4 linked regions of the Alligator mississippiensis genome follow. The protein of the gene in region 1 purifies or fractionates together with the protein of each later gene. This does not show direct contact. Links are inferred from orthologs where the notes say so. Each region holds a gene or a part of one and is shown in the gene's direction. Other genes may lie near its edges. The genes, in order: SMARCA2, CEBPB, BCL7B and DPF2.

What was found.
Region 2: the proteins of SMARCA2 (region 1) and CEBPB purify together in Homo sapiens (affinity purification with western blotting; 5 studies listed by BioGRID and IntAct, with this or other methods). This does not show direct contact. The link is inferred for Alligator mississippiensis from reciprocal best matches to the Homo sapiens genes SMARCA2 and CEBPB.
Region 3: the proteins of SMARCA2 (region 1) and BCL7B purify together in Homo sapiens (affinity purification with mass spectrometry; 3 studies listed by BioGRID, with this or other methods). This does not show direct contact. The link is inferred for Alligator mississippiensis from reciprocal best matches to the Homo sapiens genes SMARCA2 and BCL7B.
Region 4: the proteins of SMARCA2 (region 1) and DPF2 purify together in Homo sapiens (affinity purification with mass spectrometry; 6 studies listed by BioGRID and IntAct, counting the BioPlex papers as one, with this or other methods). This does not show direct contact. The link is inferred for Alligator mississippiensis from reciprocal best matches to the Homo sapiens genes SMARCA2 and DPF2.

What each region holds. Positions count from the first base shown.
Region 1 is NC_081826.1:191,852,886-191,860,707, reverse strand, and holds the start of SMARCA2 (probable global transcription activator SNF2L2), read left to right. Parts: upstream 1-4,796; 5' UTR 4,797-4,899; intron 4,900-5,705; exon of another isoform or gene 5,706-5,802; intron 5,803-6,343; exon of another isoform or gene 6,344-6,892; intron 6,893-7,822. UniProt on the Homo sapiens protein: ATPase involved in transcriptional activation and repression of select genes by chromatin remodeling (alteration of DNA-nucleosome topology).
Region 2 is NC_081832.1:13,203,765-13,210,915, reverse strand, and holds CEBPB (CCAAT/enhancer-binding protein beta), read left to right. Parts: upstream 1-4,059; 5' UTR 4,060-4,208; coding exon 4,209-5,108; 3' UTR 5,109-6,527; downstream 6,528-7,151. UniProt on the Homo sapiens protein: Important transcription factor regulating the expression of genes involved in immune and inflammatory responses. Also plays a significant role in adipogenesis, as well as in the gluconeogenic pathway, liver regeneration, and hematopoiesis.
Region 3 is NC_081837.1:29,540,753-29,548,249, reverse strand, and holds the start of BCL7B (B-cell CLL/lymphoma 7 protein family member B), read left to right. Parts: upstream 1-4,496; 5' UTR 4,497-4,592; coding exon 4,593-4,684; intron 4,685-6,642; coding exon 6,643-6,718; intron 6,719-7,052; coding exon 7,053-7,149; intron 7,150-7,497. Other genes in the region: TBL2 (transducin beta-like protein 2), read left to right, coding at 838-990, 1,585-2,041. UniProt on the Homo sapiens protein: Positive regulator of apoptosis. Plays a role in the Wnt signaling pathway, negatively regulating the expression of Wnt signaling components CTNNB1 and HMGA1.
Region 4 is NC_081838.1:4,099,278-4,106,475, forward strand, and holds the start of DPF2 (zinc finger protein ubi-d4), read left to right. Parts: upstream 1-4,194; 5' UTR 4,195-4,301; coding exon 4,302-4,333; intron 4,334-7,198. UniProt on the Homo sapiens protein: Plays an active role in transcriptional regulation by binding modified histones H3 and H4. Is a negative regulator of myeloid differentiation of hematopoietic progenitor cells. Might also have a role in the development and maturation of lymphoid cells.

The sequences.
Region 1 (7,822 bases):
GCTGAGGTGAGTGATAGAAGTGGGTTATCCTTGGGTCTCTCCCTTTCTCTCCTATTTCCTTCTCTACCATCACAATTATATATTACAAGCTGATATAACTACATCTGTCAGGGTTATGAACAGTTGTGATCACTGACCAGGATGCCTGTGTTGACAGATGCCTGTAATACTGGTTATATTGATAAAACTGAACTTTCCCCAGTAGAGTTTCGGAGGTTTATCTACTGTACTAGTAAGGGAGCATCCAGATATTCAGGCACATGTGGTTTGTGGTGCCACAAGCCTCTTTGCGGCACCACAAAGGACACTCCCAGAACATTAAAACGTGTTCTGTGCTGCAAATTTGCAGTGTGAGGGCAAACTTTCTTACTGGGGAACTCCAGTGGCAAAAACAAATTCTGGGGAAAAAAGCAGTGCAGCGCAAGCATCCATAGCGTGTGCTGGAACACACGGAGGGCTGGCCATCTAGAGCAATGTTCTGGCTGCCAGTCAGGCTCCATGTTGTCAGATCTGCACCCTTGCTGCACCAGGACACCAGGTAATACTGCTAGGGCCAGCACAGGTGCTAGCCCTGTCCTCTCCTACCCCTACCTGGGACAATTTGCTGTGTGCTGAAGCACATGTATAGGGGCATGCGATGAAGCACAATGCAGCAGCACAAATTTCTGCCACTGCTACTTGTGCTGCTGGAACCGCGTGCCCCTGCATGTGGGGACATGCCCATAGAGTTCAATTTTGCTGGTATAGTTGGGTCTATGCTAGGATTTGACAAGTTTACTAAACTGGTATTCTTATATTTGTAAAATTCTCTTAGAGTCTTAGGCCAGGTCAAAAGTAAAAAGCTTTGTTGATGTAATCATTTCCATTCAGAAATGTGAATAGACTGCAACCTTTAGCTGACGTAGCTATGCTGGCAAACCCCTTGGCATTGACACAGATGTACTGACAGAAGAGGACTTCTGCTACCTCAGCTTACATTGTTTGGAGAGGTGGTGCAGCTATTATGGCAGAGAAATAACTACAATGGGCTGATGCTTCTGTCTTTGCTAGGGGGCTCTGTCAACAAAGCTACTTTGGCATAAATATAATAGCAAAGGCTTTATAGTGTAGACAAGCTCTTAGATATGCAGTACAATTCCCAGGTGGGAATGGCCTTATTCTGAATATCTACACAAGAGCACTGCGTCAATTATACTTCTTTGTTTCTGCCAACAGAAGTTTTGGGAGCAGGCAACAGTTACCAAATTGCCAGAGTAAGTCCAAATCCAGGCACTTCTAGCAGCTCCTGACAGTAAAATGTGCTTTAATCTACCAAGTAAACCACAAGGGACACTTGGCAGAGTGTTGGAGGTAAAGTTATATATATTTATATTTTTGCAAAAAACAAAAAGACAGTTGTGTTACTGTTGGTGGTGTGCAAAGTGTCCCTGGGATGAGACTGCTGTTCCAGAAGTGGGTACAGGAGCACTTACAAGTATTGTCTTGATTCTGGTAGCAGAAACATTAGTCTCTTTGGACTGCTTGGTTGTCTAACTGCAGACAGAAAGGTGGATGCTGCTGCAAAGGCCCCTGGAATATGTACGCATTGTAAATGTAGGGATGTAAATGCAGCGTAGACATGGTCTGAGATGGAAACTTTCATATCACTGTAGCTTCTGGTTCATGTAGACAAATTTCAATTCTTTCTACAGTACATGAGGCATCCTGAAGCATTCATTCACTTAGGTGACCTTAACATTTTCCCCTTGGAGGAAATGGACAAGAGATGAATCAGTTTAAGAGTAATTTACCCTTTTAATCTGTAATGGGTGATTCTGTGCATGCAATTAATCCAAAGCAATAAACTCTGGAGTAGTTTACGCTGGAGTCAAATAGTCCTGGGTGCAGAGTCTACACATGTGCCTGGGACAGCAGCCATTTGAGCCAGGGTGGAGCCAGGGTGGCACAGTTTATGCCAGAGCTGCAAGGGAATGTCTCTCATTCCCTTTGAATCTCACTGTCACACATTTGCATTTTCACAGAGCTGCATTTTGCATATTAGCTTCTATTCTATCCAGGAGAGCACACACACCAACAAACTCTCCCTATGCCTGAAGAAGGGTATTTGTGCCTGAAAGCTTGCAAAAAACAATTTTTCCAACTATTTAGTTCGTCTAATAAAAGATCTCACATCTATTCAAAAAACCTTGTCTGCCTATGTCTTTAGATCAACATGGCTACAACCAACAACCTAAAGTCCATAGGCTGACTTCTTGAATGATTTCATCAACTTCAGTCCAGTTTTCTTTGCCAACAGACTATGTCTGCAGTAACATAAAAGATAGACTCCATCCCCTTGATACCAGGCTATAGAGAGATTAAATTATACTTTATCAAAGTCCAACAGGAAAAAAAAAGCCTTCAGCTTGACTTTACTTTAACAATATATCCATTCAACATCTTGGAGTTCTCATAGCCTCAAACAAAATCTGCTGCTGTATGTTTTCCAGCAAACAAAAAGTAATCAGCGCAGTTACCCCTAACATCAATTGAACACTTTATTTTGCCTGAAAGATTAATTTAATATTCTTTGCCCTCGCTGTATCCTTTCTACTGAAAGCAACGGCCATTTGGTTTGATTTCTGCTGAGTTCAAGGCCAATGCAGGTGAGCTGCCTTGCATACAAGCTTCCCCTTAGGTAAGGCTTGTTTTCTCCTCTGCAGAGATAAAGGGCAGAAGGCCTGCAGATTTGCTGTGGAAAAAAAGAAGTGGCTTGTATAATGGAGGGATGATGTTTAAGGAAGGAAAAATACCCTGCATTGGTGCTCTGCTGCTTCTCACAAGCATGTTAATTACATTCTTTTATCTCTAAAATGCTGGATTGTAAATCATAGCCATAGACACAAAGCTAAGATTGAGATGCCCTATTCTAAGTAGATTAAAAAAAAGTTACAAGCACCCTTTGCTATTGGGTATTTGATCATCTGCTTTTTTTTTCTCCTTACAGACTCACAGTTTCCCATTTGCATTCAGCTCTATCATTTCATTGATTTTGCTCCCCAGTATGTCTTTCTTATAGATACAGTTGAACCACATGACAATACCTGCTTCCTCTTTTGAAGAACAACTTTTTTATTGGCTACTTGGGGTTGTACAGTCTTAATACTGATTCTCTTTGGTGCAGTTATCTTTTATCATTTTGATGCTCACTTTAAAATAACTAGGAAGCTCAAGTTAATGATCAAGTAATAAGATCCTGGAAAAACTACAGAATCAGTGATAATTAGCATTGTACACCCAGCATTATAATTGGGCCATTACAAATCCTAATGCTACCAGCAAAAGACCAGACATGTAAACAATACCTGTCACTTAATGACCATATGGAGCATTCAGCGCTCCCGGCATTGCTTCAGGTCCTTAACTACTCCAGTTGGTCGCTAAGATCAGTAAAAAGAAACTGCATTTCAAACACCATTGCTCAAATATATAGTGAGTGATTTTAATATTAGAATTTCTCTTAACGTGAAATTTTACTCTAGGGCAGCAAATAAAATCCAAAACAAAATTTTCACGCTGCACTCAGAATGACTGATTCAAGATTCAAGCCCATTACATTTACATAAAGAGGAACAGAATCAAGTAGGGTTGGGTTTTAATTTTCAATCAAGTGACTGTGTTATTCAGACTGTACAATAACAGGCCTACCAAACTTAGAGATCTTTTACAACACTGTTTATTAAACCATCCCTTCTGTAGGTCTTTTTTAGATCTTCATTAAACCTACAGCTCAGGTCAGTGGACTGCGACTGCACAATGCTGGGCTTGTCCACTGGCAAGGCTGGAAGCAGATATATTGGAAATTCTCAGGGGGAAAAGCATAGAGAGACTGTGGAATGAAGAAAATGACACTACTGACATGTCCTGACCCTAAAAAACAGATCTACCCCTCACTTAACACAGACACAGCCTTTTTGGTCACGCAAGTGACATGTGACGACTAGGTTCGTTGGGGGCTCCAGCTCAGACACAAAACAACCAGGTCTTCTGAAGGAATATTCTGTAAGTAATAGCCAGCTGGGCTCCTGGAGAGGCATCTTCCTTCAGGGGCACTCAGGAAGTTGAAAGCCCAGCTGACTGGCAGATACATCCAGCTGGAATGTTCTCTGATGCCTTCCCCCCCCCAGCTTTTCCCACAAAAGGAAGATCTAAGTGGACTTGAATAAAAAAGTTTCTGCTTGTGTGACAATAATGTCCTTCTTTTTCTTCTCTGCCCCCCAACATAAACACCAGGTACAACCAGCTGCCTCCAGTACCAGTCAGCTCGCTCCTCCCCATCCTCTCCTCCCCCTCCATCCCTGCAGGCTCGCCCTGGCAGGCACAGTTACATTCCAGCACCTTCCTCACCTTCCCCCCAAAGTACTATTATTACTATTACTACTCCACCATCCATCTCTCTCTCTCTCTCTCTCTCTGGCGTGTCTCTCCGCACAGCCCACGCACCCCCCAGCGCGCCCAGGAGCATGTAAAGGGGTAGGGGTCAGCAGGCTGTGCCCCCCACACTCCCTGCACCCCGTCCCCGGTATGTGTGTGTATATGTACGTGTGTACATGTATATGTGTGTGTGTATCTCCCTCCACATTCTTCCACATCCCCTCCACAGGCAGCTGCTTGAGTGACACCCCCCAGCGCCAATCCGCTGCCCCCCCAGTTGCGGGGGGCGGGCCCGCGTGGCGCGGCCCGCCCAATGGCTGCACGCGGCCGGAGGGGCGCGGGGGCGGAGCCCGGGGGAAAGGAGGGGACGGCTGTCATCAATGAAGTCATATTCATAATCTCGTCCCCGGCGCGCGGGCGCTGCACTCGGGAGGCTCGCGCACACGGAGCGGGGACCCCGGCGGCGCCGCGCGGCTTCCGGGCCAGGTAAATAGGGGCTCGGCGCGCCCCGCGGCCGGCTCGGCACCGCCTTGCACCCCCCGGCCCGGCCCCCAGCCCCGGCCCCCCTCCGATCTCCCCTCCCCAGGCAGCAGCAGCGGCAGGAGGAGGAAGAAAGTTTGAGCTGCGATATCTTTTTGCAATAAGGACCTGGAAGAAGGACCCCCCTTCCCCTCCCGTCCTCTCCTCTCCTTCCCCCGCCCGGTCCTTTGCTGCCTGCCTCCCCCGGGTTCCTGCCTCGTGAGTCAGGCGATGCAGGAGGCGACAGTGCCTGCAGCTCGGGCTCCGGGGACACAAATGGACAGCGGGAAGCTGCAGCCCGGGGCCGAGGGGGGCCGGCTTGTCTCCTTTCTCCCCGCCCTCACCTTGCAACCCCGGGGGGCTCTGCCGGGGGTGGGAGGGAGGGGGAGGTTGCCTCCTGCTGGGGCTGAAGTTCCCCGCGCCCTGCTCCGGGGCAGCAGGAGGGGCCCGTGCGGAGTGGGCTCCTGCCCATGCCCGGTGTTTGGACAGACGTGCTGGGGAGGGGGGGCGCGGGAGAGGAGCAGCAGCGAGCCGCTGAGCAAAGGAGGCCATGAGCAGGATAATCTCCTGCTTGACTGTCACCAACATGACACGCGCAGGGGAAGGGGGGGCAGGACTTGGGGAGGGGGGTGCTGCAGCCCCTCCTGTTGCCTCCTCCCATCTCGGCCGGGCTGTTGTGAATTGCCGGCGGTGCCCTCCGCCGGGGACTGGAAGGTGTCGCGATTCACTTCCTAAAATAGCTCCTCTCCCTCCAGCCCTGCTCGCTGCTGCTCCCCCCCCGGCCTTGCAGCAGTGGTACCAAACAAGCGCTGGCGAGATGCCCCCCCCGGCTTTCAAAGCCACCGGCCCCCCCCCGGCATTTTATTTCCGGTAGGCACAGAAAATGTCAGTCATTTTGTTTTCTGGGGGGGAAGGGGGTGGCGCTTTTCTCTTCCTGCTGGCACGGATCCGGGGCTGGGGAGCTGGGCGGGAGGTGCCCCAAGTGGGAGGGGGCTTTGGAGGTGGGGGGCAGAAAAAGTTTTTGGGTGGCTGATGAAGTGCAAAGAGAGAGAGAGAGGGAGGGGAAATGGAGGGGGAGTGGGGATTTAAGCCTCTGTTGCTTTTGGTGGCTGGGGCTTTGGAGGGACACAGAGAGAGGTTTTGTGTGTGTGTGTGTGCGCGTGTGTGCGTGCACGGTGTGGAGCAGCATTGACAGAGACTCAGGAAGTCACAGCACAGGTTTAGGGTGGTTTTGAGGGTTGTGTGTGAGAGAGAGGTGGCTGGGAGGCCTGGTGTGTGTGAGAGGGGTTGTGTGTGTATGTCTGTGGGGGGGTTGTGTGTGTGTAGCAGCAGCAGAGAATCAAAGTCACAGCAGAGGTTTGGGGGTGTGTGAGAGGTTTGGGGGTGGTTGGGAGGACTGGTGTGTGTGTGTGTGTGTGTGTGTGTGTGTAGCAGACGCAGAAAATCAGGAAGTCACAGCAGAGGTTTGGGATGGTTTGGAGGGGTTGTGTGCGTGTGCCAGAGGGGGTGGTGTGTGGTGTGTGAGTGAATGTAGCAGCAGCAGCAGCAGAGAATCAGGAAGTCGCAGCAGAGGTTTGGGGTGGTTGTGAGGGTTGTATGTGTGTAAAAGAGGTGGCTGGGAGGGCTGGTGTGTGTGTGCGGGGTTGTGTGTATGTGTGTGTAGCAGCAGAGAATCAGGCAGTCGCAGCAGAGGTTTGGGGTGGCTGTGAGGGTGCGTGTGTGTGTAGCGGCAGCAGAGAATCAGGAAGTCCCAGCAGGCAGAGACAGGCGCTCACACACGCACACAGGCGCGCACAGACATGTTTGATCAGTATGACACGATGACGGAGGGAAGCCGCGCAGCGGAGAGCCGGGCCTAGCTGTGCCGGGGGCCGGGCTGCCCCCTCCCGCCCGACCCTGCTGCCCGCTCCCCCCCGCGCGGGCGGGAGCGCTCCGGGCCGAAGGTCGGGGCCGGGGGAAGGTAAAGCCCCGGAGCGGGCCCGGGGGAGCTCCGCTGCCATGGCGCGGGCTGGAGGTGGAGGTGGGAAGGGGGGCGGGGAGCGGGGCTGGCGCTGCTCGGAGCCCGTCGATCGGCGCTCAAACTTTCCAGAAAGGCAGGGGGAGCTGGGGGACGTGGCCGGGCTCCGGGTGCCTGCACTGCATGTCGCTCGGGGCCGCGGGATCCGTGCGCTCCAGCGGCAAAGTTGAGGCCTATGCATTTCCCCAGCGTCCCGGAAGAGTCACTGGAGGGGGAGCCGGAGGGGGGGGGAGGTGTTGGGAAGGCCAAAAATATATACAAAAAAAAAGCAAAAAAGCTGGCAATTGAATGGAGCCAAGCGGAGGGGGGCGGCGGGAGGGGGGACGGGACTATCTCCCAATCTGGGATCGGAGTAGAGATCTCCAGGGGGCTGAAGTTAGTGTGCCTGCAAGACATATGGCCCTGCCTCCCCCTCCACCACGTTGCATTATCTCCTTGCTGGAGGAGCCTTCTCTGGGGCCCTGGCTCTGTGTGTGTGTGTGTGTGTGTGTGTGTGTGTACATTGTGTGTATACACATGTAGTGATGTGTGTGTATATGTGTGTGTGTAGTGTGGTATGTTGTATGGGTGTGGGGTGTGTGTGGTGTGGTGTGTACGTGTGGTATGTGAGTATACGTGTGTATGTGTATACATGTGTGTATGTGTGTGGTGTGTGTGTATGTATAGCATCTTCATTTTCTTTTCCTCCACAGGGATTGTGATAGTATGAGTATGTGTATGTATGTATCTATAGTGTCTTCATTTTCTTTTCCTCCAACAGGTTTGTGATTGTATGTGTGTGTGCATGTATGTATGTGTGTACATACAGTGTCTTCATTTTCTTCCCCCCAACAGGACTGTGATAGTGTGAGAGCAGCCAGTCCAAACCAGCCA
Region 2 (7,151 bases), on another chromosome or scaffold:
GGACAGATTGTTTCTATCAGTTTGAACACTGCCTAATGCAATGGGACCCTGGTCTAGCTGAGACCTTCAAGCACTACTGCAATTCAAAGGATAAATAATAAACATTGACAGCTTGCAATGAGAAGTGTTTGTGATATTTAGCCAGACTCCATCTTACCTCTCAAGAGAATAGTTAGTTTAATCCCAGCTGGCAAATATTCTGCTCTTTGATCTGTTGGCATCATACAAACATCCTCTGCCCAAAGCTGACATGAACTCATGGGTCAGACTGGGAGAACTAGAAATGCAGAACTAGAGATCCTGAACCACTCAAAAAGGTACAGAGCGAGCCTCTGAGGAGGGGAACTTCAGCAAGGTTTTAGCAGAGGTCTGATCCAGGGAAGAGAATGCACCGGGAGTCCAGGTGTTCCTGTCCTGCAGCAGCTTAGGGAGCAGGATCCAAGGCCTGGTGGTAAAGTAGGAGTGAGCTCTGTTCAGCAGATCAGGACATGCTGTTCTCTTCACCTTTTCCCTTTTAGATTATCCTTGTTTCACCCTCCAGCGTCTGCATCTATAGTCAAGTGAAGCCATAAACATTTGTAGTTTATTGAGTCAGAAGCAAGAGCTGGCCAGAAAACTGGGTTTCTCTCCAGGGAACTTCTGTCTTCTTACTGAGAAACTAATTTCTTTTTTGAATAAAAAGAAATACTTTTGGCCGCCAAACTGAATGCTCTTGATCTCCCAATGAAAAATCAGAAACATTTTCCAGGAAAGCAGGCCTCTCCCACCAAAGCCATGGAGTGAGAAACCTGATTGCTTGCAGAAAATGTTTGGACAGAAAACTTTTTGTGCAGCCCTGGTAAGAAGTGCTGTTTCTCTCCACTTCTTCTTGGAGCAAGGGCTAGCGCCCAGCTCTTCAGTAGGAGGAATGTCTGTGTCTCAACATGTGCAAAGAGCAGGTTTCCAGAGCAAAGGCTCTTTAGGAGGCTTATTGTGCACATCTAGCCAAGCTACGACGTGACATTCTCCAGACAAAACTTAGCAGGCTGGGACTATAGCATGAATCAAAGTCTCCATCTGGCCATATCTATAGTTTAGATCATCCCCCACCCTACTTGAAGTCACCATATTAGCACTGACCAGTGCAGATAACACAGGTCAAAACCTGGGCCATTGAACAGTAAGGCTTTTGACAAAGTGTTTAGTCTCTGCCAGCAAGAGAGAGTCTCTGCCATGCTACTGAAAAATCAGTGTGCCAAAACTTGGTGTAGGGGATGAAAAAGATGCAGCAGGGCATCAGGTGAGCTTCTGACCTTCATCACCATTGTGGTTAAAATGTTTCTAGCACAAACAATACCACTTAGCACTGATAGCTAGGGAGAAGGCATGGCTTGCACACAGCTTGATATGGAGGTCTCACAGAGCTACACATGGATCAACCTCGTGAGGGACAAGCAGGCCCAGACTAGAACACAGCAAGCTGCTGCCAAGCAGTGGAGAGGGAGGCAGGTGTCCAAGCAGGGGAGCGTTAGACTTCCCAGGTAGATCCAACAGGCTCACCAAGCTGATTTTTACTGGCAACTAGTTTTATCAAATGGTTACGGTAAATCAGAGACCTAGCAAATGTAATACCAAGATAGACCAGAAGTGCTCCAGGGGTGCCTGCAAAGGGGGACATTTTAGAAATGGATAATGAACAAAGTGGATTGTGATGTGTTCAGCTACTGTACCATGTACGGCAGCAATTGGCTATAGCTGTCAGGTCAGGAATCAGGAGGATAAATGTGAACAGCTCACCACAACTTGCCAGAATCTGCATCCTGTGGAGAGTTTATATTTGTAGATGGATGTCCCCTCGCTACAATATCCAGACCCAGCCACACAACTCAACGCCCTTTTTATGAAATGCACAGTTCCCAAACATTAGCTGAATGACAGAGATGTGCAGTAGGAAATATGTGAAGTCTCCGAACCTGTCAGCGTACTTTACTCTGGAAGAAAATCAGTTTACAAGACCAGATGAAACAGAAAGAAAGAACGAAAGAACGAGCAAAAGAACGAAAGGAAAAAAAGAAAGTCCGATTTTCGAATCCTTCCTCTTTTTGAAGTCCGGAGGTTGGAACATTCGTGAACAGTTGACTGTTTGAATCGTATAATGCAATACCTGTTCCTCTGGCTTAACGTTACAATATTTCCCACACCGCAGGATTGCTTCACAGTAGACTAAGAGGCAGTGTCATTTTCCCTGCAGTGCTGGGTCTTCTTTGCTGAGGCAAAGGACACTCCTACTTCCTTTAATTATATGTTTTGTTTTAAATTGATGTCTTTTATTTTGGGCATGAATCACCAGCTTGTAAACAGGTAAATGTGGGAGTAAAAGAAGGAAAATATAAGTTGGATTCCCAAGAAGGGTGTCTTTAATTAAAATCGGAATCGAGTTTCATTCTCACTTCTCCAACTCGCTATGGCTCCTCTGGGTCGATCCTGCTGAACGAAAGAGCGTATCCCATGGCTTTGTGTATGTACGTTGCCTTTTCCCCAGTCATTCTGGTTGCAGATTGCTGTTCCAAAGCCCAGCTCTGTATCTCCTGTGTACCCTGACAGTTGCAACATACCCTTCAAGGTAAACACGCCAGGCCAAACTCTGAGGCCACAGTTCCCGCACAGAGGTGGGGAGGGCAGTTTGGGATTTGCCTGACACTCTAGATGCTTCCAGTTCAGAGGTGGCTTTTGTGGCGGGGCCTTCCCTGCTCTGACTCCACAGCAATAACCTTTTTGCTCGTTGTCATAACCAGTCACGAGCATGTCTGCACGGAGCAGCTTTGCCTGTCAGGGTGACAGACTGAGCTGGGAACTGGTCTGGGAATAAGAAGATCTAGTTTCCGTGTGTGGCTCTGCCCCAGACTTGATGAGTGACCCTGGATCAATCGCTTGCTCTGTGTCCTGATTTCCCCAGGCCCTGCCTCAGTTCCCCCCCCCCCCCCCAAATCTAAAATGGGGAGAAGGATACTCACCCAACGTTGGGCAGTACTTGGAGGGCACACATAAGCGGTGCTTTCAAACACTGTCACATTCAAAGGATCCAGCTTCTCCTGGCACAAGGGCAGCTTCTGTGTCTCATGGGCCATGGGGGTGTGTGTGTGTATGTGCCTGTGTGTGTGTGTGCATGTATGTGTGTATGGGTGAATATGTCTGTGTGTGCATGTGTACACATGTCAATGTGTGTCTGTGCATGTATGTGTGTACAGGTGTGTATATGGTGGGTTTTCTCCTTTGCAGTAATACAGATGACCCCAGCAGTCTTTCCTGCCCAAGCACAGGGCGGCTGGACCCGATGATCTGTAAGGTCCCTTCCAGCCCCTAACAACTATGAAACTGTGTATGGGTATGTGTGTGTAGACATATGAGTATGTGTAAGGGCATATGTATGGGGGTGTGTGTGTGTGTGTGTGTGCATGCATGTGCATGTGTGTGTACGGGTGTACATATGTGTGTAAGGGTGCATGTATGTGTATGTGTGTATATGGGGGTGTGTGCATGCCTGTGTGTACGGGTGTACATATGTGTCTAAGGATGTCTGTATGTGTGCATGTATGTGTGTGCATGCACATGTGTATGTGTGTGTACGTGTGTGTGTGCACATGCCTGTGTGTAAGGGTGTGTGTGTGTGTGTGTGTGTATGTGTGTGGGCACACATGTATGTGTGTGTACGGGTGTGTGTGTGTGCCTGTGTGTACGGGTTTATGTGTGTGTGTATGGGTGTCTATATGTGTGGGCATACACACGTGTACGGGTGTATGCATGTGCCTGTGTGCGTGCCCGGGGTCCCGTCCCCGCAGCCACGGGGTCTCCCTCCCTTTGCCCGGCCGGACGGTCCGCACCTGCCCGCCGGGACAGGGGCTGGCCGCGCCCGGGCGCTGAGCGCGGCGCGGTGCGGCGCGGTGCGCTGCGGGGCCGGGAGCGGAGCGGAGCGGAGCGGAGCGCGCGGCTCGCCGCCAGCCATGACGTGGCTGTTGCCATGGCAGCGCCGCGCCTATAAATCCCCGCGCGAAGAAAGTTTCCCAAGTCAGAGCCGTGGGGCGCGGGCCGCGGCCGGATGGTCCGAGCGCGGGGCGGCGGCGGCGGCAGGAGGAGCCGCGGGCAGTGAGCGGCGGGCAGCGCAGCGCAGCGCAGCGCGTCCCCAGCAGGCTCCGGAGCAGGCTGCGGAGCTGCGCCCGCCGTTCGCGTTCATGCAACGCCTGGTGGCCTGGGACGCGGCATGCCTCCCGCTCCAGCCACCCGCCTTTAAGCCCATGGACGTGGCCAACCTGTACTACGAGGCGGACTGCCTGGCGGCGCTCAGCAAGCTGCACCCGCGCGGCCGCCCCATGAGCGAGCTGGGCGCGGGCGTGGGCGAGCACGAGCGGGCCATCGACTTCAGCCCCTACCTGGAGCCGCCGCCCGGCCCCGCGCCCGCACCCGCGCCCGCTCCGTCCGCGGGGGGCGGCTTCGAGCCCGGCGGCGGCGGCGGCGGCGGCGCCGACTTCCTCTCCGACCTCTTCGCCGAGGACTACAAGGGCGGCGCCAAGAAGGGCGACTACGCCTACCTCGGCCTGCCGCGCCACGGCCACGGCCCCGGCCGCTTCGAGCCCGCCAAGGCGGAGCCGCCCGTCTTCGAGACGCTGGACTCGTGCAAGGGCGGCCGCAAGGAGGACGGCGGGGCCATGGCGGCGGCCTACGGCAGCGCGGCGCGCTCCTACCTGGGCTACCAGTCCGTGCCCAGCGGCAGCAGCGGCAACCTCTCCACGTCCTCGTCGTCCAGCCCGCCCGGCACGCCCACCCCGGCCGAGGCGGCCAAGCCGGCGGGCGCCGCGGGCTACGGCGGCGCCAAGGCCAAGGGCAAGAAGAGCGTGGACAAGCACAGCGAGGAGTACAAGCTGCGGCGGGAGCGCAACAACATCGCGGTGCGCAAGAGCCGCGACAAGGCCAAGCAGCGCAACCTGGAGACGCAGCACAAGGTCTTGGAACTGACGGCCGAGAACGAGCGGCTGCAGAAGAAGGTGGAGCAGCTCTCCCGCGAGCTCAGCACCCTCAGGAACTTGTTCAAGCAGCTGCCCGAGCCCCTGCTGGCCACGGCGGGACACTGCTAGCCGGCCCGGGCCCCGCGGCCACGGCGCGGGGCGGGGGCGCCCGCGGGGAGGGGGCGCGCAAGTGTGTGTGTGTATGTGTATGGGGTGGCCTGTATCTATTTGTGTGTGTGTGTGCGCGTGCACATGGGGGTGTCCTGTATCCGTCTGCCTGTGTGCGCATGGGGCATGGCATGGATCTGTGTGTGTGTGTGTGCACATGGGGGTGTCCTGTATCCGTCTGCCTGTGTGCGCATGGGGCATGGCATGGATCTGTGTGTGTGTGTGTGTGTGTGCACATGGGGGTGTCCTGTATCCGTCTGACTGTGTGCGCATGGGGCATGGCACGGATCTGTGTGTGTGTGTGCACATGGGGGTGTCCTGTATCCATCTGACTGTGTGCGCATGGGGCATGGCACGGATCTGTGTGTGTGTGTGCACATGGGGGTGTCCTGTATCCGTCTGACTGTGTGTGCATGGGGCATGGCACGGATCTGTGTGTGTGTGTGCACATGGGGGTGTCCTGTATCCGTCTGACTGTGTGTGCATGGGGCATGGCACGGATCTGTGTGTGTGTGTGCACATGGGGGTGTCCTGTATCCGTCTGACTGTGTGTGTGCATGGGGCATAGCATGTTTCTATTTGAATGTGTGTGTGTGCGCATGGGGATGTCATGGATCTCTGTGTGTGTGAGGGGTGTCTGGGGGGTGTATGGAGTCTGTGTCTACTGTATAGGGGTGTGGAGTGCGTGTGTGTGTAGGTATGGGGGTGTGTTTATATATGGGGGGATGTCTGTGTGAGGGATGTGTGTGTGGAGTATATATGTCTGTATGGGATGTGTGTGTGTGTATGAGGGGTCGGGTGGCTGCTTGTTCCTTGCCCCCCCCCCCCCCGAGACTGGACTGGGGCCAGGGGAGACCCGGGGAGAGCCTTGAGCTGTCTTTGCTGGTGTCTGTATGTACCTGCTGGCGGGAGAACCCCCCCACCCCAGCCTCTGCCTTCCTTGGGAAAGGGGGAGCTCCTGGGCTCCTCCATCCCTGCTGGAGGAACCGTGTTTCCTGGGGGCCATTGCTTTGTTTCAACAGCAGCCAAAGTCCCCCTTCCTGCCCCCCCCCCCCGCCTTTCCCCCCCTTCCTGATGCACGATCTCTGCAGGCTGGTGAATGCTAGAGTTATTTAAAACGGAGCGAGAGGGAGAGAGAGCAGAGAGTGATGCAATCCTTGAAACATGGCTGGGAATGCTGTGGACATGATGCAATCTCATGTAACTGTCAGTCATGAATTGAGTAATCTGTTTAAAGATGTTTCTACTTTTTTTTGTTTTTTTATTATAAAGAGTAATCTATTTCTATAAGAAAGCGTGTGTATATTTTGGGATCTATGCCTTCTTGCTGCGGTCGAAGCATTAATGAACAATTTTAATAAATTTTCTGGCTAGGAACAAGAGGTGCTTGTTTTATTTTCAAGGCACTGTCAAGGCAGAACGAATCGGCGCGCTCTGGCCTGCCTTGGTGAGAGCAAGGAGCAGAACTTTTTCTTTTTGACTCCGTGACTCAGCAGAAGACTAAGAGAGAACCGGTGAAGAGCCGAGCCTGGGAGTCTGAGCCAGTTCCCCCTTGCTGCCTCCTTGAATTTCCTCTAATACCTTGATTTTGCTGCTGCCTGGGGGTTTTCTGGGGATTGTTTTTTGTTTTTTTTTTTTAAAGCAGGTTTCTTGCTTCTCGGTTATGTGACTCGGCATTGCTGCTGCCTGTAGTTTACAGGGATAAACCAGAAGATGACAGAATTTTTGTGTTGAATGTCGGGAACTTTGGGTCAGCACTGAGACACCTACCACAAAACCCAGCTGAGGTGAGATGCATGTGAACAGCTCTCCCTACAGTCTTCTTTTGGGCCTTTATTCTGCAACATATTTCTAACAAAGTGCTGATAGTGCTGCTCCTCTGGAAAGTGCATGTACGTGTTTGCTGGAGGGAAGGATGGGTCAGGAATATGTCTGTGGGGTACCGAGGTAAAGGAGAAAGGAGGCATGGATGGAGGCAGAACTTTGTGACCAAGGAAGGAGGAG
Region 3 (7,497 bases), on another chromosome or scaffold:
CCTTTTATACAGTGATCCTGGCCCTGAAGCCTTTCAGAAATCATGGAAGGTTTTATGTTCCTCTGCTTGGTTAGTTAGAAAGATATTTGGGAACCTTGAGAGCAGCAGTATCTAGCATATTAGGGGTCTTCTCACCTTCACCATCAGCACCTGTTCACTGACTTGTGCCTCAGCAATACTGTTGCCCCAGTTTACTGCCCTTTGGAAGGCACACATGATGGGCACTGGCACTGCATCCAGGCTCATGTAGCAACCAAAAGAGCAAAGCAGATGTCTTTGAACTTTTGAGTCCAGGTTAATTGTAACTGCAGTAGATGAGAACAAGCTTTTCCTAGCAAGTAATGCACCTTTAGCAAAGATAAGTCTGTAACAGTCTTTCACTGACATGTCACAGCAGTGATGTTGTATGAACTTACCCTGTCTCAGGGCATTTGGGAATGTGAACTCTAGGTGTCTGGGTGTCCCTTGCTGGTCTCAAAGCATACCATGCCCTGGGTATCCTTTGTGGAGCAGTCTTCTTACAGTCTCCTGTCCCATACTGACTTCCTGGAGTGCCATACACCTGTCACTGTGTAAATGGTGACAAACGGTACTTATTTCCCTAGCGAGAACCCAGGATGTTAACTCAGATCTCTTGATAGGGTCAGCCAGCATCTTGAGCTCTTGCAATACCCACATCTGCTTGGGTTCCCCCACCTGACTACCTTTAATCTCCCCAGCGTGTTCAAAGAACAGTCAGACAAATAAGGGAGCAACAGCAGTGCATCCTGTCCCCAGTGAAGCACTCTGCCTGGTCTAGCATCATTTGACTGATGTCCTGTTTGGGCTTTCTTCCAGGTTTGTGGCATCCTGTGGCTTCACCCCTGATGTGAAGGTCTGGGAAGTGTGCTTTGGCAAGAGTGGAGACTTCCGAGAAGTGGTCAGGGCTTTTGAGTTGAAAGGCCATAGTGCTGGCGTGTACTCTTTCTCATTCTCTAATGACTCCAGACGGTAAGATGCCCTTTAGCTGCCCTAGATCATGTCCTGTCTAGTATAATCTTCCCTGTGACTGGTTGGGTGATCTCTTCCAGCATAAAGGAGTAATAAGTCAGTAGAGATTCCTTCCTCAGCACTGCAAGTCTCTAAGCACCATGTGCTGAATCGCTCCATCCTGACTGATAAGAAAGTTAGGAAAAGTAGGGGCTGGAAGAGACCTCAGGAGGTCATATTTAGTCCAACTCCCAGCTGAAGGTAGGATCATCCCTTACTAAACCATCCCTGTCAAATGTCTGTCTAGTCTGCTCATCTGTGACAGCATGTTGGCATTGATGAGACTGCTTGCCAAGCCAAGGAAGGTTTCCACCTTCTTACTCCCCAGTTCAGATTTCCCTCTTGCTGGTGCATGGTTGTTCTCCCCCACCTTCAATACAACATTTCCCTGGGTACCAGAGTTAGCAGGTCACCAGTCAAGCCATCATGGCATGCAGTATCCAGGAGAATGGCTCCTCTTTCCTGGTAGGGTCTGCAGTTTGCAGGGGCTGGAGAAGGGGGAACGGTATTGTGTTGCTCCTTGCACCTGACGTGGACATGTCTCTTTTGCTGTAGGATGGCAACAGTTTCAAAAGATGGCACATGGAAGCTGTGGGACACTGACATAGAGTATAAGAAGCAACAAGATCCTTATCTGCTGCTGACAGGGAAATGTGAGGTGTCTGAGCCTTGTCATATTGCCTTGTCCCCCGATGCCCGGGTAATGGCCATCTCTTGTGGCACTAATATCATTATGTACAACACCCGAAGGGGAGAGGAGGAGGAGCGCTTTCTCAACGTCCACGGAGAGTACATCACGGACTTGGCCTTTGATATTAACAGTCGTTACTTGGTGTCGTGTGGAGACAGGGCCATTCGGGTGTTCCACAACACAGCAGGCTACCGGGCTGTGATGGAGGAAATGAAAGGGATGCTGAAAAAAGCTACTAATATGGCCACCAGAGAGAGACTGCAGCAGCAGATCACAGATGCTCAGAGTGCACTGGACAGTATTTCAGCCAAGAAGGACTAACCTCAGTCTACTGGGATCAGTGTATGTGCAACCTCTCTGAGGTGGGGAGCTTTGCACTTTGCATTTATTGGGATTTTAATACTGAATTGAGTGCTAATAAAAATGTACAGACTGCTCAACCCGTTGGGGTTCCCTTGTGTATTTCTAAACAGAGTTGGAGAGCTGGAAAGCTGAGTGGCAGAGGTGGAGATGGTTTAAAGAGGCCATATGATGGGAAGTAGCTGCCTAGGGAAGATTGAAGGGGAGGAAGCCTGTAATTACCCTAAAACTTCATTGATCCTGAGCTATGTTATGAGGTTCCAGACCAAATGGGAGGGTAGTTCTTGTGTGAGGTAGTTAGAGCACAGATGATGAATGCCTTTTAAGGAGCTGTGAAATGGCTTTGCGGGGGTGAAGCGCATCTAGGGAGAGAGAGAGATTTTTCTGGGCTTGCTCCAAACTTTGGAACTCCTCACAGTTGCTAAAAATCTAAGTTATTGGCCTGGAATGTAGCAAAAGCTTGCTGGCATGCTAAAAATGCGAAACAGCAGTGAGCAGTAAACCTAACATTTAGTTTGAGATGGCAGACTGCCTGAATTTGGACTACAAAAAAACAGTTCTTAATGCTTACTGGGGTTGTGTAACTCGCCTCTGGGAAAGTGATTCAACATCTTTGGCAACAGAATTATTTTTTCCTTCTAAATGTTAATACTAGAACTATAAATGAGATTCCTTTGGGGCTGAGTGTAGTCTTCTGTATCTTGTTACTGGTCATGCTGCATCTTGAGATGCAGCAGCAGATTACTTTGGTGACAGGACACAGAGAGGACAGTATATTACTAAAATACTAGCAGGATGAACAGGGAAGTGTCTCATAAGGGATCTCTGTTCCGTTCCTTATGTGCAAACCAGAACATTTTACTCCCACTTACAGTGATGGCAGAACAGTTCTACTGGGCAGGTCCTGCCATCTGCACTTGCAGCTAAAAGCTAATGGATATTTTAAAATATCCTGGTTTTGAAACAGAGGTAGTAAAGTAGCCTGGGATTCTGCAGTACAATAGTGTTTCTGTACAGAGGTGTGTAGTATACATCAGCCAATAGGGCCTAGGCACTTGGTGTTGAAAACAAATACTTTCTGTGGGTTGTGTGCCCCTATTAAATGTCAGGGTGACTGAGCCCTGTGGTGCACAGTTCATGCTGGGATCCTGTGTGGGATGGAATTCTAGTTTTAAGGTTAGGTTTTAATGAGCCCTGAAACCTGACACGAGTGTGTTTTGGGAGACACTAAAACTAAAGTTCTGCTGCCATAGACAAATATATCACTAATAGGATCCTAGGCTGGATATGACCTAATGCAGGGGTGGCCAACCTATGGTCTGTGTGCCACAAGTGATGTGGACAACCTCTATAGGGCACGCAGCACTTGAAGGGAGGGTAGATGAAGAGCAGAGCACCAGAGGGTCCAGAGGGGCGGACTGGACTGGTGCTTGGAGGGGGTGGGACTATTGTGGCATGACTGTCACAAGGCTGCCCCACCCCCTGAACTTAGGGTTGACCCCTCTTCCTTTCCTATTAATATTTTGCAGTGTGTCAAATCTCCCCCAATACCATGTGATGCAAGTGCTCTGTGCTGCTGTGCACAATGTGGTGGCGCTATTAATGACCGATTTGCTGACTTCAGAGAGTATCTGAAACATGGCTCTGAACATTGTTGTTGATGCAGCCCAGCCGTAAAGGTGAAATGTTACTGTAAAAGGGTAGTCAAGAAACCCTGATTTAAGTTGCATACTTTAATCTTGTATTCGGATTATTTATCCATATCTGTATTTTGATTCTCAGTTCTTACTTTTTTATTACATAAAAAATGCCATGGATTCTGCCAATGTCCAATTTCCTTCTTATTTTAATGATTTGTCACCCTCCATTAAAATTGTTAAATATGGACGAAGGCAGCAAATTAAGACGGTTTTATGACTGGGATAGTGGAATACGTGTTTTGCCCTTAATCGCTGTGGACCATTATTCTCCAACTGCCCCCGTGGGGCCTTCGCAGCAGGAAGGGAGAGGGGCGGCCTCTGCAATTGCAGTCCAGCAAGACCCCCCAGCGCCGCGGACCAGTGCGGTGGGGCTCTGCCCGTCGGATCAGGACCTGGAGGCCGGGCTCGGGCCAGGAGCGGGCCCCACACGCCACGGTCTGGACACGTGGCCCCAGCGAGCAGCAGCCAGCGCCGCCGCCGCTTCCTCACGACCCAGGGAAGCTCTGCCGGGATTGAGACCCGGCGGGGCGGGGCGGGGCAGCGGTGCCGCGCATGCGTGCTTGGGGGCGGGGACTCGAGGATCGCTGCGCAACATGGCAGCGCCCCCGCCCTGGCGCCGCTCCCCGCACGCGCGTCAGTCAGGCGCCGGCTGCGCCGCGCAGGCGCACTGCGTCACCCCGCTCTTCCCTCCCCTCGGGCGCAGCGGGCGCGCTGACGTATTACGCATAGGGCGTGGATAGGGCGGGTCGCGCGCATGCGCCGGGAGCGGCGGCGGGTGCTGCGGAGCCGAGGCTGCCGGGGCTGCGGGCGCCATGTCGGGCCGCTCGGTGCGAGCCGAGACCCGCAGCCGCGCCAAGGATGACATCAAAAAAGTGATGGCGGCCATCGAGCGCGTCCGCAAATGGTGAGAGGCGGGGCCGGGGGGGCGGGGCCTCGAGGCAAGCGACCAATCACTGTGCCATGCGGGCTTCGGCGGAGGCCCTCCAGTGAAGAACACCCAATCAGAGAGCTGTGCCGGCCGGTGGGTGGGATTAAATGGGGAGCGCCCAATCGCTGCTACCTGCGGCTTGCGGAAGGTGAGGACAGGAAGGGTGGCCAGATTGGCAGGTGCCGGAACCAATCGTCGTCCAACCCACGCGGTGAGGGCGTGGCTTTAGAGACGTTTGTGGATTGGCACTTTCCCAGGCCAATCGCAGCTGAGGGCGGGGGAGGGGGGGGTCTATTGTTACCATGGGGCAGGAGGAACCCGCCCACCTCTACCCCGCGTCTGCCCGCGGTGGGGGCGGGGCCGGGCCGGGCTCCGGGGTCGGTGGAGGGGGGGAGGTGTCGCCGGGTCGTTGGTGCTGCTCAGCGGGACTCGGGGGCGCTGCGGAAGCGAGGGCAGCAGGAGTAACTCCTGCGGGGTGGAGCCGCCGCCGCCCCCCTCCGCCCCGGCCTGGGGCCGCACAAGATGGCGCTCCCGGGCGGCCCCCGGCCCCTGCCCGAGCGGGGGAGGCACTCGGGCCCCAGGCAGTGGCTGGAGCCGCCTCCCAGTGGCAGGTCACCTCTGCCCTGGTGCGGAGCTCCAGCCCCTTCCTCTGGGCTCTCTTGCTGCAGCCGCAGCAGGTTCCCTGGGCTCCGCTTCGCTTCCTGACGGGCCCCGAGCGCCTGCTCCGAGCTGCTCCCCGCGCTGCGCTTGTACAGGGAACTTGCCAATCCGTGAGCTCGGGACTAGCCACCGCGCGCGGCGCCTCCCCGAGCTGGGTGAGAAACCCGGTTAGCACATGGAGAGCCCACACGCGTGCTGCTACTCGCTGCCTTGCTGAGCATTTTGGGGACATCCTGGTTATTGGTTACAGATTATCCCACAATCCCAAACAGCAAGGATGAGAAACGGTGTGAACGGTCCCGATCCGCAGCAGCCAAAACCTCGAGCTTCTTCCCTGCTGGTAGTTGTTATAACGCAGCGATTGATACAGGAACCCGCCCCGCATTGAACACGGGAGGGCAGCATGAATATTGAATTTAACGTCCAATTATGTAACGAGGACTCTTGTGGTATTTCAGGGGGACCTACAGTGCTCCGACAAAAACCATCCTTGCCCCCGCAGCACTGATTATATTGCAATTAACTGTCATGCTGCTGTAAAAGAGAATAGTTGCATCTTTCTGACAGGTGAAGAGGTCTGACCCCTAGCGGGCATAGTCTGTGGAGGGGAAAGCCCATGTGATCGTCAGTGCTGCCTTTAAGGGCTGGAGGCAGAATTTGTTTCAAAACCAAAAGCTTAGATTGCAGGACATGAGATGCAGCAGCTGGCTCACTGACCCCTGCAAACCCTCCCTGCCCATTGCCTGCCCTTCTCCCTAGTTAGACACCACTCCCCTACTCGTGTTGGGGAGGGTCTAGTTTCTCACCCTGCTAGCCAGCCCCAGGGACAGAGTGCAGGTCTGATTACATCCCCCCCCCCCCCACCCGGGCCCTGATGATAGGAATACATTAATGTAAAAGCTAGTATAAAGAGAAGCTGCCAGTATCCTCTCATCTGACTGGGCAGAGAATGTAAGAAGTGAGACAGGGTTTGAATAGCCCTGATCCTAGCCGAGTGTTTACATAGCCGTATGGAAGTCCATGGGGGCACTGCAGGCAGGCTCTGCTTTACTGGTAGGACTGTCAGTTTTACTCTTTTTCTGAAACTTCCTTGGTAAGTTTATGGAAAAGCAGCAGTATAGGCATGATCCTGAACTTCCTGGTAACTGGATTACCTTTCTGAGGGGGAGGAACATGGCTGTGTACTAAGCAACCCCTTAAATGCTTCACTGACTGTGTGGCTGCCAGAGGTTGCTTGTTCCGTCAGTTTTAATCTTTTTCCTGGCCTGTGGTAGGGAGAAGAAGTGGGTGACAGTTGGAGACACTTCTCTCCGGATATTCAAGTGGGTGCCTGTAGCAGACAGTAAGGAGGTAAGTGCTGAGCCTATGTAAGGAGAGAGCTTAAAGGTTTCCACACTGTGGCTGGGGAAGAACATGCCTGAACAGTGTGTAGTTGGCAGGGGTTCCTTATGGCTGTTATGAGCTAGTCTTCATCACTGTGCTTATGGCCTGGGTTGGTACATTGAAGTGATGAATGAATTGAACTGGCAAGTGCTACTGCCAGGGCTAGAGGAGAGAGAGAAGGCAGCTGTGTCCTTAGGGAGGGCAGCTTCCTCTGAAGCTTTGGTTCATGTCTCTCCCTTGTACCTGTTGACAGTAAACTCCTTTAACCTCAGGGGTTTTTTTCTCTCTTTCTCCCTTCAAGAAAGAGAAATCCAAATCAAGTAGCAACGCGGCACGTGAATCCAATGGCTTCCCAGCTGACACCTCTGCCAACTCCTCCCTCCTCCTGGAGTTTCAGGGTGAGTCTGCTCAGCCTCATCCCATTACTTTGCTAGTGTGCTGGTAGGCAGGGAAAGGGCACTTCCACCACTCACACTGAAAGGGACTTCCAGGAGCTAAAGGGTTGCTAGATTCTGCGTATTGTACATCTCTGTGGGAGCAGTGTGAATTTCTACAAGGCATGTTGATTTAACACATTAGGCTTCTAGGATTATCTATGGTGAAGCTTTTAATTACTGGCGTCTGATGGAAAAGCAATAAAATGAGTAATTATAGCTGTGGTTTTCCCTTTCTTTTCCAGCAAGAGGCATCATAGGGAATGTTTTGGATAATTGGAGGGATGGAGAGCTCCCTACATCCCCTTTCCT
Region 4 (7,198 bases), on another chromosome or scaffold:
ATTCCCAGCTCTAGAAGCCTGAGCCATAGGCTACAGCGAGAGCCAGATCTGGGGCTCCTGGACTCAATGAGGGGGGGACTGCAGATTCTTTTCAATTCCACTTCTAATGAGGATGCCTTGGTTAGCGAAGCTGACAAATGTATCTTCCCGACTCTTGGATGAAGGGTGTTATAATGGTTGCAACATGGAGGGACCTCCAGGGTTCCAATCATGACTGTGGTATTGACTCACCATGTAACTTCATACGTAGGAGGCAAGCTAGCTGGCTGGAAGACAAATTCTTAGCGAGGGGGAGTAAAAACAGAGATGCCAAGAGGCCACGTAGAAAAAAAAAGAAAAAAAAAATTGCAGGGAGCATGCAGATGGAGGAAAGAAAGAAATGGGGAAATGCATTTTGTCAGCTGGGCATTCAAAGCAGATGAAGTGTGGCACTGAATGCAAGTATTGTGCTTCTGACTTTGTTCGTAAAGGAAACAGCGTTCCATTCAGGCAGGACAATGAGGGGTGCAGACATCCCTGCCCAGGTTTCTGCAGCGTGGAAGTCACAGGCCTCTTCTGCGCTGGATATTTGCCCCTGCTCCTACTGCAAAACATTACTTTTGGCAGGCAAGCTACTATATATACACCAGTGTTGTTAAATCCAGCTGTGGAAAGTGCAGAGGTGCACACTGTGCTTACAGTGATTTAGTCTGTCTACCCTGGGGCTAGGGACAGAAATTACACAAACTGGTATAAGCAATTGGAAACCGGTTCAAATCTGTAACACAACAGAAGTTCAGTGCCCATAAACCACTTTCAAAATGGCTGAAACCAGTATAAGATAAACCTGGATGGATATAGTATCAGACTTAACTAATTTAATTCGGTTTATTGAACTTCTGTCCCAGATCCCCTCCAGATTCAAGCCATCTGCTCCAGCAGACCAGGGAGGCGTGCTCTGGCGCCCCTCACCCCCACCCAGCTTCTGGCTTGGGCCACTGCAGGCACATGGCTGCATTTCTGGAATCAAAAGTGAATGTCTGTTCACTTGTTAATCGGTTCAATTTACACAGTTTAGACTAATCCGTGGAGATTGAATTGATTCAGCCTTGGGCTTTTTGATTGTCTGTACTTAGCCTGGAGGTTTGCGCTAGAACAACTACCCCACTGCTTATCACCATTGGCTGAAGTTCCCAAAGCCATTTGTACCATGTGGCAATCTAGTGGGTGTGAAGCAGAGCTGCCTGGGAACAAGGAACTACTTGCAGTGTGGCTGCCTGGGGAAAAGGGATGACTTAGCCAAATAGCTCAAGGCCAAATAGTTTCTGCACTTCCTGAGCCTGGTGCTTTCATATGCCTTCTTAACCCCACTGTGGAAAAATGAAAGAGCAGCCAATCCGTTTCGGGAAAATAAAGCAAATTCAACAACTTCACTTTAGCCATCCTGGCTGGCAATGAGAAAGCAGAGAAAGGCTGTCCCGCCAAACTCGCACCTCCGACACAGGAACAGCACAGGGGTTGGCCATGGCACCCCCTTCCGATCGCAAGCTGAAATGGCATTGCAGAGACCCTTCCATTAGACTCCAACTGCAAAATTAATTACTGGGGAGCTGGGAAGGGGAAAGTTGAAACAAAGAGCTAAATTGTGTATTGGAAGGGCAGGGGTGAGGGAAGGAACCTACGATCAGTAATGGAATTTAAGGGAAAAAAAAAAAAAAAGGCAGGGCAAATATGTGGTTGTTCTCATCTTTCCTAGTGAGCAAGCCAAGGAAGTGTCACAATGAGGCCGGGTGCAGCTGTGCTGCAGAAAACATGCTCGCAATAAGGCAATATACTTTCACTCACAGAAATGTTACCCCATAGAGAGTGAGAACTTTGGCCCAAAGCTGCCCGTGTAGTTACTTACTCTGTTCAAGATCCAATTATGACCCTTGGGCCCACAGCAGTTGAGCACATCAGAAGCATTCATAGGTTGTTATCCTTCCAACACCCACCCCTTGGAGATTGGGAATGATTTACCCAACATGTTTAGAGATGGGTATTACAAGCCTGGGACGTTACTATGCAGTAAGATGGGTGTGAATGTATGGTGCACTAGCTACTCCGCACTAGCCCCACATGTAGATGCTCTTAATGTGCATTCAGTGAGACTCTGCAGGGGCTGCTTACTTCACTTTGAAAATAGATTATACCTCCTCAGTCTTAGTCTGCAAGAGTTAATGAGGAATACCATATTTTCCTCACATACAACATGCACCATGCCTCCAAAAGAGATGTTGGAAATTTCAGTGCAATTTATATACAAGAAATAAGGTAAGAAGAGTTTCTGCCTTACCAGGCAAAAGTGAAAGTCAGATGTGCATACTACTTACAGGCAACAGAAGAGAGAGCAGGTTCAGCTCTTTTGCTGCTGCTACCGAGTTACTTACTACAAGAAACGTTTGGTTTTGTTCTTTAGCCTGCCTTTCAAAAAACAAGATGTGAATTTTATTCTAGGCTGGGTTGTATGTGAGCAAACATGGCAGACGGCGTGGTTTAAGTTCACACTCCAAGTAGAGCAGCCCTAAGCAGCTCACCCAAGGAATGTATCACTAAGCTAGAAATTGAACCATGCCATTAAAGTCTAGGCCAGAACCTCATCTACTTAACCATGTGTTTTGTCCTTAAATACTCACATTTTAGTATTTTCCCATTTATTTCCCTTCCCCACTACCTTCTTTTTCTGTTCTGCTGCTTTGAGGACCAGCCTGCGGCTGCTTACCTTCCAAATACAGGAGCAAAACTTTCCCAGCGTCAAACCTGAATAATTTATCACTGTCCAAACGCAGGCGAGTCAACAGCTCCGAATATATTTTTCCATGACTCTGTTAGGGTGTGGGCTGTCCCTCCGGCCTCCCGGGGGGACAGCAGTCCTGCATTCGTAACCCATGCAATGGACTGGAGGGCAGAGCACTCAATCTATGCACGCGCTGTTGAGGAGAACAAGAGTCTCATTTCTTGAGGACACAACTTACCTCTGGGTCTGGATCCAACACACTTACATCAGCGTAAACTGCTTTTATGCTGGGGTGAACAAGGAAGAGACGCAGTGTAAGCCTTTGTGCCAGCGTGCTTACCGGGGTTTGGGGAAAAGCAGCAGGAAAGAGACACCAGTGTAGCTTGGTGCGTGTCCATGCTTTTCCTGGATTACCCATTTGTTCATGACTACTGCATGTTCTCTTACTACCCGGTGGAAAGGCAGCATAATAGTTGCCTATTGTTGCAGGAAGCCCAAGGCAACTGCTTGTCTGTCCACTGTGGATCGCTGTATGATTTTTTGTCGGTGTAGACGAATTATACCAGTGTTAACGCGCCGTCTCTTCTGTTTGCCCAAGACTCCCTTTACTGCTGCTCCTCGAGTCAAAGCCCAACAAGCTTTTTCCTATTAGTTATCCCTTGGCGTGCACATGCCATCCAAAACGCCATTCATTTCAGCATTCTTACCTTGTTTGCCTTGCATGAAGCAACATGTAACCACCTGCCTTCCAGTAGAGACCCCGGCACCAATCCTCTGCACGTCCAGGGCAGGTGTCGCAAGGGCAGCTTTCTGGACCCTTCATGCCCTCAGCCCGCTCTGTCCCTTTATGGAGGACTGCTGGTCCCGTGGCAGCAGCAATCGGCCTGTCTCACACCAGTGACCTGCATGGCAAAAGGGACTGGGCTGTTGGGAGTCCCGTTGGGATCAGTCCCTCCTTTCAACTATCTGCCTACCCCCCCCCCCATCACGCATCATCCTTCCCACCTAGTCTCGGTGCTTCTCCTTCCAGTCTATCCTCCTCCCTCCATCTTTCCAGTCTTCCCCCTCATCCCTCCATTTTCTCTCATTCCCTCCATTCTTTTTAAATGCTCTTGTCATTCCCCCCATTTTCCCCCTTCCCCTCAATCACGTCTCTATCCTTCCCTCCCTCACACCCTTTTTCCCGCCTTTTTAACCCCATTCCCTCTCGCGCATGCGCCCCAGAACAGCCCCAACCCCGCCCAACGGGTTGCGCATGCGCAGTACCACACCATCGAGGGCGAGCGCGCGCGCTCTGGGCATGTGCATTGCCGAGGGCCAGGCAGAGGCGGGTGAGCCTCGGCGCATGCGCCATGATGACCCAGCACTAGAGTAGAGGGGGCGCCTGATTCTCAGTTGGCGCACGCGTACTTATTAATCAAGAGTGGGACGGGAGGAGGCCTCTGCGCGTGCGCAATAGGAGGATGGTTTCTCCCCGTTCCTCGCTGCCTTGCTGCTCTCGGCGCATGCGCGCGGGGCGGCCCACGGCCCAGGCGGCAGAGGCAAGATGGCGGCGGTGGTACAGAACGTCGTGAAGCTGTGAGTGGTTTCGCCCCCCACCTCCTTTCACCCCCCCCGGTGGGGGCAGTGGTGCAGCCCGGGCCTCAGCCGCGCAAATGGAACGGGGGGACCCCCGGGCGAGACCAAGTCGCCGGAAAGGGGAGGGACGGAGCCGCGCTCCCTCTCCGGGGCTTTCATTGTTCGGCGCAAAGTTTCGCAGCCCGGGTTCTAGTTTGGGGGGAGGACCTGCCCCCCCCCAGCCCGGCAATGCGTGGGAACGGGGGGCTCTTTCCCCCCCAGGCTTACTTGGTAGCGCCCGTGGAGGGGGGATGGGACCCCCGTGGAGTTGTGGGGGGCAGTAGGGGCCCTGTAGGGAAGGGGGGCCTCTGGGGGAGGTGGGGATGGGGCTGGGGGGCACTTCTTAGGGGGTTTTTGGGGTGGGGGGTTAGGACGGGGTGTGGGGGGGTAGGAGGGGACGTGGGGGAGGGGGTGTTTTGGGTGGAGGTTAGGAGGGGACGTGGGGGAGGGGGTCTCTAGAGGGGAAGAGGCCCCCCCATAGGGGGTCTTGGGTGGCGGGGAGGCAGGAGGGACTCTGTGGGGGAGCAGGGGGAAGGGGAGCCCCCCAGAGGGTCTTTGTGGGGGTCTTAGGGGTGGAGAGGGGGGAAGCTTCTCTCCTGCTGGGCCCTTGGAGTTGGTGGGGGGGTGTCAGATCCTCTCCCCAAGGTCCCTGAGTGGGGGCAGGAAGCTGAGAGGGGAAGGTTTTGAGCCCCCTGCATAGGGGGCCTTATGGAGGGAGAGGGGTGAAGCCCCCTCCCATCAAGTTCCTTTGGGTGGATAGGGAAGAACATCCCTGGTCCCTGGGGGCAGCTCCGCAGGGATCCTTGGGGTGGAAGGAAAGACAAGGACCCCAAGGGGGGGAAAGGGGCCCCGCGGCATGGGGGACGAGGGAGGAAGAGATCACCCTGCTGTGAAGGGGTGGGGGGGAGCTCCAGTGCTGTTCTCACAATCTGGGCTTGCAAAATCATGGTGAATCAGCCAGAATCTGCCCTGAAGATGCGCAGGTTGGAACTGATGAGTGTTTGGGGACGGGGTGGGTTAGGATGGCATAGGGGTGTGGGATTGGATGGGGAGGGGCAGGGATGCATGGGACCCAAGCTCAGTCCCCTCCCTTCATAACGTCTCCAGCTTTGTCCTTTCTCCAGTGCGTCCTAAGGATGCCTGTAACATGGAAAGTCTGGCTGAATCCGCACTGGGAGCAGTACTTGGGACACGGGGGTAACTCCTGGAGGTTAATCGATGGCCGTGCTTCTGCTAGAATTCATCCTTTTCAGCCAAGCTTCTGCTTTCTCTTGTGAAAAGAGAGTTTCTTCCCCTTACAGTGCACCAAACAGCAGGAATTCTTAAAAAAAAAAAAAAAAATGCCTTGGGACAAGGCTGCGCTAGGCGCTGTATGTGCTCCCCTAAGGCCGAGATGCCCAGCTGTGGTACGGGGCTAATGATACTTACCTGTCTTGTCTATACAGTGAGTTACTCCGGGCAGCGGCTGGTTTTCACTGGGGGACTGGGCAGTGCCTCGCAGGGTTAAACAGTGCCTGTCATGACAGGCCCCAGTCTCAGCCTGAGGGTTTGTAGCACAGTCCCAGTCTGCAAACTGGGCTCATGGAACTTGTAGTCCACAGGGGGGAAAAACCATTCTGCAGTCCCAGCCTGGATAGAGACTGGAGCTTGGACTCGGTTATCTCAAACCTCTCTCTTCCTTCACAGGAGGTTTGTGAAGATAAAATGCATTAAAGATCCTAAGGGTCCTTGGGTTCTGCAGTGGGCAGTCGCTGCCCTACAGTATGCGCTCTGGCCCCAAATCTATACTGCAGCATCCCCCAGCAAGAGTATATCTACCCCCCCCAATCAGTGACTAACCTTTTGTACATTGCTGGGTTGTCAGGATGCTCAAAAAGCCAGTGAAATAGAAAGTATTGCATTATCCACTTGGTCACATGAGGGTGGAATGTATTTATTTTTCATGAAAAGGGTGGCTGTTTGCTTTTTGGAGCAGAAAGTTGTGAATGTCTCTTTGCGGTGAGGATAGCTGAAATGCTGAGGAGCTGCCGCCCAGTCTTAAAAAGACAGCATTGGTCTCCTGATTGTGGCTTAGTGTGTTTTAACGGTCCCAAGGCACGTTATCTCTGTGCAAACCTTTCAGGAAGCCTTTATGTCAAGGCACGAGTTTGCCTCGCTTTGTTTCCATCGCTGGAAAAATTGCGACTCTCTTGCTGTCATTGAAAAACAGGCAGGAATTTTATAAAGGGGTTTCACGGGGCGCTCTTTCCATTCCTTGTCCCCCCTCACCACCACCACCCAAGTATCCTGTCCATTTCCTTTCCCCACAATTAATTGTAATAACTTCCAGCACAAAACTCTTTTCTGAGATTCTTGCCAATGGGGGTGGAAGTAATTGTATTAGCTGAAGCCATCCATAAAATGGGGTTTTGAGCGTAATTTCTCTGGTTAGTGCCAGCTAGATAACTTCTGCTTGTGGTGTTAGCTAAGATTGGAAACAGGCCGCTATGTAAAATTGTCCTCAGATGCAATGCAGTCCCAGCTTTGAAAATCTTCATATCCAAATGGACAAAGGAAGATGGGAGAGTATTTTTAGGGGGCAGGGGGGAGGATGGGGAAATTATGACACTGGAAACCAGACCTCCTGTCTTGTCTCACTGTGGTTCTTAATTCATGACCCCTGCTGTGTCTCAAGCAGTATTTGTAAAACCTTTTAAGGAAACATTTTTTGTGGAGCAGGAGTCAGATCTTGCCCTCAAGCCGACCAGTGGGTGATTCTGTTAAAATCTGTGGAGCCGCACTGTGTATAATTGAAGGCAGAATATGTTCCTCTGTATGCTTTCTCAA